2 linked regions of the Rattus norvegicus genome follow. The protein of the gene in region 1 interacts with the protein of each later gene in a pairwise test. Links are inferred from orthologs where the notes say so. Each region holds a gene or a part of one and is shown on either strand. Other genes may lie near its edges.

Evidence for each region.
Region 2: the proteins of Hpgds (region 1) and Abhd17a interact in binary tests that used the Homo sapiens proteins (3 or more experiments, as listed by UniProt). The two-hybrid records come from large-scale screens. The link is inferred for Rattus norvegicus from reciprocal best matches to the Homo sapiens genes HPGDS and ABHD17A.

What each region holds. Positions count from the first base shown.
Region 1 is NC_086022.1:95,713,953-95,718,389, reverse strand, and holds part of Hpgds (hematopoietic prostaglandin D synthase), read left to right. Parts: intron 1-162; exon of another isoform or gene 163-615; coding exon 616-708; exon of another isoform or gene 709-4,029; coding exon 4,030-4,139; exon of another isoform or gene 4,140-4,437. UniProt on the Homo sapiens protein: Bifunctional enzyme which catalyzes both the conversion of PGH2 to PGD2, a prostaglandin involved in smooth muscle contraction/relaxation and a potent inhibitor of platelet aggregation, and the conjugation of glutathione with a wide range of aryl halides and organic isothiocyanates.
Region 2 is NC_086025.1:9,773,185-9,778,199, forward strand, and holds the start of Abhd17a (alpha/beta hydrolase domain-containing protein 17A), read left to right. Parts: upstream 1-1,831; 5' UTR 1,832-1,979; intron 1,980-1,991; exon of another isoform or gene 1,992-4,721; intron 4,722-4,864; 5' UTR 4,865-5,015. UniProt on the Homo sapiens protein: Hydrolyzes fatty acids from S-acylated cysteine residues in proteins. Has depalmitoylating activity towards NRAS. Has depalmitoylating activity towards DLG4/PSD95. May have depalmitoylating activity towards MAP6.

The DNA.
Region 1 (4,437 bases):
CTTCACCTCACAAGTGCTAAGGTTACAGGCATTAACCAGCACACTCTATTTATGCTGTGCTGGGAATCAAACTCAGAGACTTGCGGGGCCTTGTGCATATTAGTCAGGCACTCTACCAACTGAGCTACGGGCCCCACTCGTAAACATGATTTTTACAGTCAATTCTTTTTTTTTTTTTTGTTTCTTTTTTTTTTGTTTGTTTCTTTTTTTTTTTTTTTTTTTTTTTTTTTCCGGAGCTGGGGACCGAACCCAGGGCCTTGCGCTTCCTAGGCAAGCGCTCTGCCACTGAGCCAAATCCCCAACCCCTACAGTCAATTCTTTAACTGACTTTATATCCAGTTTTCAAAGCTAGCAAAGTGTAAAGACTGTGCCAGAGAATGCGAAATTGTCCTTTTTAAGAAGAAATGTTTTGAGAGACTTGGATATAGATCAAACAGTACAGTATTTTTTAAAGTAATATTTTAAAGTTTATATACATTATATAAAAACATATATATACACATATATTCTTATTTAAGAATTTTCGTGACTTTAATGCTTTGTTCCTATTGTTTTGAGTTCTCTTGTCGTTCCTTGTTCTGCTCTCAAGCTGAACCATCACTTGGTCTGTTTTAGCTCTTCCATTTGGCAAAATCCCTGTTTTGGAGGTGGAAGGACTTACACTTCACCAGAGCCTCGCAATAGCAAGATATTTGACCAAAAACACAGGTAATATACCTGTTGTTAGTTAAGGCCTTAAATAACTGGGGTGGGGGTAGTGCTTTCTTTAGTATTTCTTCAGTAAATGTTATTATTCAACTGTGGTGCAATTAAGAATGGCTATGAAGATTAGAATAATATAAATGTATCATCTATGTTAGCAGAACTTTCTGTGGATGCTCTAGACAGCTCTTTTATTTTACTACTTTATATTTTTATGTACAGGTCTTACTTTGCTGTATTGACTTGCCTGGTACTTGCTACGTAGCCCACACTGGCCTTAATGCTTTATCCTTCTGTAACAGCCTACCTGGTGCTTGGATGACAGGCATGTGCTACCACACCAGTAACCTCTCTGTATACTGTACCTGCCTCCTCCCACATTATGCCACATTGCCATCATGTCCTTTCTAGAATATAGCTGGAAAAAATGGATTGGTAAATCATACTAACATCAAGTATTATGATCCAGACAAAAACAGCCAAAAATGCATACAGCACATGAAGGCTGGAACTTGTTGACCTGTTGGAGTCATAATCCCGTGTCTTTCATTCTGATGGTGTTGAAAAACATAGGGTAGTGGCATTCTTGCCTCTACTGAGTGTCACCTGAGGCTTCCCTAATCTACTGAGTGTCACCTGAGGCTTCCCTAACACAGCTCACCATGGCAGTGAGCGCAGGTAGCAGAGGTGGTACCTGCCTTCCTTTCATCATTCTTCACTTCCTGCTCCCCTTCTCCTGCTCGTCTCACTTTAAAAAGCAACTTTGGGCTTCTTTTAAAGATCTTTTTCTTTTTAAATAATCTACTAGAATTAGCACTGTCCACCCCCACCCCACTGCCACCACCACATTATCCAAACACGCTGAGCACCCAAGTGACCCTAATGATTAGACTCCCATTTGGGGGACAAAGTCGTTTGTTTCAAACATATACATGGAGCTGGAGACTCGGCTCGACCTTAAGACTACTTGTTGTTCTGGCAGAGGCCTGGGTTTGGATCCCAGCATCCAAACGGTGGTTCACAACCATCAGTAACTCCAGATCTGGTTGGTCTGATCAAGGCTTTTTGTCCTCTATGGGCACCAGGCTCACATATGGTGAACATGAGGGCAAAATAGCAATATACATAAAATAAAATTAATTTTTAAAAGTTTAAGCACATGAAAAGGTGTACTAGCAGATATTTCAACAAGTGAAGGCTTGAGAAGGGTCAGAGGAGATTGAATATGTCTATGGACGTTGGACTTAGAAAAGTTTGGGTGGAGCCTCAGAGGATGTCTAGGGTTCCAAGGCCTCCAGCCTTCATGTGCATCAAGGTTCCCTGGAGGCTGTATAGAACCCATCCACTCTTCCTTGCTTCTACATTGGGTTCCCGAAGGACCCTGAAAAGTTTGCATTATCAAGGACTTCCTGATAGTACTGAGGAGGCAGGCAAATGGACCTCACTTAGACTCACCAGACTTTCAGTCCTTGGAGTAAACAGAAAAAAACCACAAGAAAAAAATAAACAACAACAACAAAACCTTCATGTTTGTAGGGTAGAGAAGGAGGGTTCCTTAGCAAAATGCACCGAACCTGGTTAGAAAATCCAAGGCATGGACTTCCCTGAGTAGAGTTAACTCAGAAAGGGGAGTGTGGAGAATCTGAGAAAGTATGCAAAACCCTTGTAGGGCTAGGCAGCAGAGAAGGAAGGGCTAAAAGGTACAGTAGACAGGCTTTGTCATTCTCAGAAGAGCACTGTGGACGGGGAGGGGAGGATGTCACAAACACCCACCAACAATAGCACTGGCACTCTGGTCTTCTCAGTTTTTTGTAAACACAGTCCTCAATCCCAGTACCCCTTACCGGATCAGGTTTTCCAGCGACAGGAGGCCAACAGGTAAGGAGTCTCTCTCTTTCAAAACACGCTGGAACTTCTTAGCTTCTGTAGGGCCGACTCACAGTAGTAGCCATGCCCTCGCGGAATGAATAGGGAACTGCAGGTTTCAGGTGTGGCCGGTGGGTAATTTGATGCCGGAAGTTCAGGAAGGAAGAAAGCCCCGAATATTTTCAAAGGGGACTGGGAGATTACTGCAGTTTAGAAGTAGAAATGTCTACTGAGGCATCACCTGATGCAAAGTAACCGCCAAACCCTGGATCCTAGATGTCCAACCATGGCTGTGGGGAAGTGAGGGGACGGTGAGTGGCTTTTTCAGGCTAGTAAGAGGAATCAATTCTCAGAAATCACAGGTAAGAGTTACAAGTAAGTGCAACAGTCATGTTCTTTCACCCTGGAACAGCTTCACTTTGGTGTTGTTTATCTGAGCTATTCATCAGCAGCTTGGATTTCCTTGAGCTTAGTAATTTGATACAAAAGCAGTCAATTTTACAAGACTTTAACGCTGAATCATTACCAATTGGCACCAGTGAGAAAAAGATTAGAAAGATCAATGACTTGTTAGAAAAAAATTAAAGAAATCGCAGTCAGTGTTTACTCTTTTTTATATTGAAGGCTTTGAAGATCTTGTAAATTGGGCCTGGAGAAATGGCTCAGCAATTAATAGCACTTGGCTGCTCTACCAGAGTACCAGAGCTATGTTCCCAGCACCCATATGGCATCTCACAACTGTCTGTAACCGCAGTTGGTGATTCGACAGGCTCTTCCGAACTGCTGGCATGTGGAGTACTTGCGTATCTATATGCACATAAAAATTTAAATTTTAAAAAAATGTCTTATTCTTGCAAGTTTTGGTAATTTTTTTTAATCCCAATTTTCTCTTTTGTTTACCTCCAGAGGCTAGAGCCTCTGCTTTCCTTCTGAACAAAATGTTTCAGTTTGAAGGGAATGTGACAGCTGAGAGGAACATGACATTCAACAAACAGAAACAAACAAACAAAAAAATCCAGTGCATTGTAGCCACAGACACAGCTTAACCACTGTCTGTATATTTGACCATCAGGAGCCACAGCTCCCAGGATTCAGCAGTAGTTGGCATGGTTATCTCCTATCTAGGTTCATGGTGAGATACTTAGGGTTCCGTGACTGAGCTCCTGTCTGGCTGTCAGTCAAGGCGCTTTGTTGTCCCAGGGTTAAGACATTCTATTATTCTTAAAGTTGAAATTTTATGATGAAAGCTGGGACAAGATTTTTAACTGGAGTTTTTTTGGGCTGTACAAAGAAGAATGGACTACAGAATTTTACCATCAGTCCCTAGTTCCACCGCCAACCTCTGTCTTCTGACTCACAACTGTTTCACACTGAATTTTCTATGTCCCCTATGAGATACATTAGTAGTAGTGTATACTGAGCATGTTGCTAGATACAAAATGGCCTTTTTCTGTCCCATAGATTTGGCTGGGAAGACAGAGCTGGAGCAGTGTCAAGTGGATGCAGTGGTGGATACCCTGGACGATTTCATGTCACTCTTTCCATGGGCAGAGGAAAATCAAGATCTAAAAGTAATGTGATGGGCTTACTATCATTCCTATGGTCAACCTTCAATGGCCTCCAGAAAGTGCATGATGGGGCTTTAAAAGTCATTTTTAATCTCTGTAATATAAATACGCACTTTTTAAAAATGAAGTTATAGCAGACTCTAAAGCAAGGTCAATGATTTCCCGACAGAGCCTTTGTTAACCCCACCTCAAATAGCTTTTAAAGACGTGTGCAAGCCTCTGTGAATGTATGTGTGCCCTGTACATGCGGGATCCTGCAGAGACTGGAAGAGGGTTTTAAATTCCCTGGAACTGGAGTTCC
Region 2 (5,015 bases), on another chromosome or scaffold:
ATGGTGGTAGCCACCCCTCACTTCAGTAGTCCAGTGCCAGAAGTCATGAGTTCAATACTATTCTAGGCCATCTGCGATGGTGTCCCCTCCAGCCCGAAAAAGAAAAAGGACTTGACTCAACCTTGCATGGTAGTTCATGTTTGTGAGTCTAGCATTCTGGTGGTTGGGAGAGGAGGATTGTTGAGTTTGAGGGCCCAGCATGGACTACACAATGTGTTCTAGACTGGCCCGATCTATAGTGTGAGGTCCTGTCTTAAAAAACTAAATAGGGATGCTGGAGGGATGGCTAATGGGTTGAGAGCATTTACAGCAGCTGGGAGCAATTCAAGGTGCATGCCTTTAATCTCAGCATTTGGGTAGAGGCAGACAGATCTCTCTGAGTTTGAGGCCAGTCTAGTCTAGGATGAGTTCCAGGACAGCTAAAGCTACATAGAGAAAAACTACAGAGAACAAAACAACAAAGCACATTTACTGCTCTTGTGAAGGACCAGAGAGTTCTGTTCCCAAAACCCATGTAGTGGCTCACGAGCAACCGGACTGCCCATAACTGCAGTTCCTGGGAATTTGACACCCCCTCCCGCTTGGGTTCACTTGTTTGTTTGTTTTTTTTTTCTTTTTCTTTTTTTCGGAGCTGGGGACCGAACCCAGGGCCTTGCGCTTGCTAGGCAAGCGCTCTACCACTGAGCTAAATCCCCAACCCCTAGGACTTTGGGTTTTTTTTTTTTTTTGTTTTTCAGAGCTGGGGACTGAACCCAGGGCCTTTTGCTTGCTAGGCAAGCGCTCTACCACTGAGCTAAATCCCCAACCCACTTGGGTTCATTTGTGATCCACATGAGAGTGCAGCCAAAGTGCACATACATAATAAAAAGATAAAGCACACCCTCTGCCCCCTACACACAACTCAAAAAGAGGGCCAGTGAGATGGCTCAGTGAGTAAAAGGTTCTTTCCACTAAACCTGAGGATCTGAATTTAATTCCAGGGATTCACTCGGTAGAACAGAATCGATTCCCACACTCTTTTCTGACCTCTACAGGAACTCCATGGGACAGTAATGTTTATGCACAGACAAATAAATAAAATTGGACTGTAAAGATGTTTTGTCGCCTGAAATGGGAGTGGAATCTCCTGGAAATAGAGTTATAGATGGTTGAGAACCACTTTGTGGGTGTTGGGAACTGAACCTTAGTTCTTTGTAAGGGTAGTGTTCTTTTTTATGTATTTTTTTTTTCCCGGAGCTGAGGACTGAACCCAGGGCCTTGTGCTTGCTAGGCAAGCGCTCTACCACTGAGCTAAATCCCCAACCCCAAGGGTAGTGTTCTTAAACGGTGAACACCTCTCCAGCTCCAGATTTGAGACCCTAAAACTGCTTTTATTGCCTCTTCCAGGAATTCAGGGAGGGGACGGGCGGATGGGAGAGCAAGAATAATTTAACCAACCAAATGGGCATGAAAACTCCAACCTCTGAACCCTTCTCTATTTCTATCAAAGCCACACCCTATCCAGGCCCCTCCCCTAGACCATTCGGTTCCGCCCTCATTCCAGGCCCCGCCCCTAGACCACCGCTCTTCACCAGGTATCGCGTGCCCAGCCAAGCTCCTTTAGACCTTCACTTCTGCCCCGCCCCCATGAAAGCCCCGCCTACACAATCAGGTTCCGCCTTGCAGCTCGAGCCCCGCCCAGCAATCCCTCCTGTGGCCCCACCTCCAGCACGTGTACCTCCCTCACAACAACCCATCCAATCCGCTTCGTGATCGCTTTGCCCCGCCCCCACGACCAGCGGAGTCCTTCTCGCTTGCGCATTCGCCTCGCATCACTTCCGGGGCGGTGTTAGAAAAACTCACTTCCGCCCGCGGCGGAGCTGCGGTGGTGGCGGTGCAGGAGGCTAGGTCGGGGCCCCCGGGGGACAGACGGACGGACGCACGGGCGGGCGGCCGGGAGCCATGGAGTGCGGCCCCCGGGCCGGCGGGCGCGGGCGGCGGTGAGTGCGGGCGGGCGCGCGGGGGCTGCGGCGGTTTGCGGAGTGGGGCCGAATCGAGCGGGGCCCTGCGTCCGATACTTCTTTGCGCTCTCCCGGGATGGCTACGGGACCCGGTCCCTGGCATCCCCATGTCCCCGTCCAGCGATCCTGGAGTGATCGCTTAACCTCCTCAGGACAAGGCTGTGCCCCCAAGACGCCCGGGGCCCAGCCGCAGACCCAGCCCCTATCCCACACCATCTCTGCTTACATCGTCTGCTGACATTCACCGGCCACCTTTGCCCCTCGCCTGGCGTCTTCCTGTCAGCTGGGGCCCACTGCAGGCTTCCCTTTTGCGGTCCAGGACTCCTTTATGGTTCCTTATCACCCCCACCATGAAGTCCTCATGCTGCAGCAGAGCCTGAGGGTACAGCTTGAAGCAGGCCCTGCTCCCCTGGGAGCCCTTGCAGTTTTTCGAGTCCTCTCTCGCCGCCCGGGTTTACCTCTCCGGTCACTTAGCTATTTCTTTTTTTCACGTGTGTGTTCCTACGCAGAGGACAGCGGACAGCTTTGTGGAGTCCTCCCCTACCCTGTAGATCACCTGATCCAATTCGGATCTTCAAACTTGGTAGCAAGTGCCTTTACTTGCTGAGCCATCTCATTCTACATTCTAGCGAGGGTTGCCACCCTACTATGACTTGCTGGGTGAGGCTTCCCGATGCAGACAGTCATATGTAGGTCATCCTAGAGCCCTTACAGTAGCCTGCATGCTTGTAACACTAGGGTCTGGTTTTAAGTTTGTGATCACAATACTTGGGACTTTGTGGCAGTGAGTAAATAATCTTGGCTTACAGTACCCAATGGCTCCCATCTGTGACATGAAGTCCCACATGCTGTCTGCCCTCTCCATTTAACACTGGCAGACCCTGGGGGCTTATGTCTTTAATGTCTTTCTCCTACACCTTCACTTTCTCTGGCTACTCTGCACATGGTTGTTGAATGGAAGTGAGTAGTTATTGGTCCTAGTGGTTCTGCCCCTGTGGACTTTCTTATGGTAAGGTGGAGATCTAGTTAACTGTAGAAGTATTTAGAATCATAAATATGAGGGCTCCTCACCATATGGAGGACTCAGTGTGCTGGTGTAGGTAGGGACAGCCTCAGGAGGTAAACTGAGGCCTCTCCTTTCTTCACTTGTCTACAAAACATACTGCAGGTTGAGACCCCTGAAGTTGCACACCTGACAAACTGTGGCTAGGGATGAGGTCTGTGACTAGGAAGGAGGACTCCTTTAAAAGGGAGGTCACTCGATGGGTGTGTGACCATCCTGTACAAGGTGTCAAGGTAGCCCGGGTGAAGAGGACTCTGACATGGGATGATAGTGGCTGGGATGGATCTAGGCAAGGAGACTAGAGTGCAGTAGCCATGGATGGACCAGCTGGCCTAAGGATCCATTGGAGTGGCCTGGAGGGGAGTGTGAGGGGCAGCACCCCCTTTCCTGGCCTTATCTCACCTTATCCTTTCTCACTGGACTGCAGACCGCCCCAAGCCCTCTGTTACTAAGGGGTATTACATGAGGAGACCTTGATGATAAAGTTGGTGTCTCTAAACATTGACCTCGTGGGTATTTGGGGCAGGGTCATTCCTTGATAATAGCTGTTCCAGGCTACTCTGTGTCCCTGCTAGGTGTGCTCTCAGTTACAGATGTGGTCTGGTGTCTCCTTGGGCCCCACCTGCTCCATCCTAGGAGTGCTCTAGGTTACAGATGTGGACTGGTGTCTCCTGGAGACAGGTTCAGTCGCATCGTTGAGAATTGTGGCCTGGGAGCTGGGGACTTCTCGCACTGTCTTTGTCCTTACTCTGGGTGTCAGCTGGTCTCCCAGTGTGCCTCTGGATTGTTACAGACTGGGGCATCACTCGACCTAGCTGCTGGCCTCAGGCTCATGGGCATCAGAGATGTGTGTGTGGACGGGCTCACAGCTGCCTAAGTGTCATATGTCTCCTTTGCCTGTTATCCATGTCCCTCTGTCCCTGTGGGTTTATATGCTGTGACCTAAAACCCAGATGTATGTGGATATCCTGTTAAAATTGTACTATGATGTCTCCTGCCTTCTTCCTAGGCTGTGAGAGATGGTGGTGGGCTTTTCTGGAAATGTCTCTGTCTACCCATTGGCAGCTCTGTGTACAGTGGCAGTGGCTTTGGTGTCACTTGAACACGTTTCAGGATGTCCTGCAGAAGTGGAACATTTGGGTTTCTATTGGAGTCAGGCCCTGTCCCCCACTTCACTTCCCTCCTGCAGTTTGCTGCCTCTCTGAGGCAGGCCTGGGAGGTTGGGTGACCGAACCCTGAGGTTACAGCTGCCTGAGGCCACAGCTGCCCTGACCCTGGGGAGACACCCTGGCCCCAAGCACAGGGACAAACCATTGTCCCAGCCAGTGGGGCCCTGCGTCTGGCACGCATCCTGTCCTTGTTCCCGGCCTTTGTGTCTGCTTCCTTCCTCCCTTGGGTTCTGTCTCTCTGTTCCAAGGCCCCACTGCTCACCCCTCCACATCCTCCTGTGTGGGAGCCTCTGAGCCTTTGGATCCCTTTGGCTCAAAACCTGGGGCCGCCTTTGTTACCTGTTCTGGAGGATAACTCCTTCAAGGACTGAGGGAGAAACTGGTGGGGCATGTAGAAGGGTCTGGACATAGGCCTGGGGGTGCTGGAATGGCTGAAGCTGGGGGGCATACATAGGAGTTCTGCAACAGAGGCCCAGGAGAGACTGTGGGGTAAGCTAGGGCTGTGGGCAGGCCGAGAGGACCAAGATAGACCGTGGATGTGGGGACAAGCCTTCCTCCCTGCCTGGCACAGGCTGGCATCTGGTTCTACCTTAGCTTCCTGGAGGGAACCCACATGTCGGTGTCCCCCGCAGGGTGTCCCACTGTATGGCATGGAGACCTGTGGCTGTGAGGCTCCTGGGGGCTCGCCTTGGACCGCGATGGGGCCGGGCTGCGGCCTCCTAACGGGACTGAGGTGTGCAGCCCGCGAGCTGCCGCTGCCCGCATCTCGGAGCACCCCCGCCC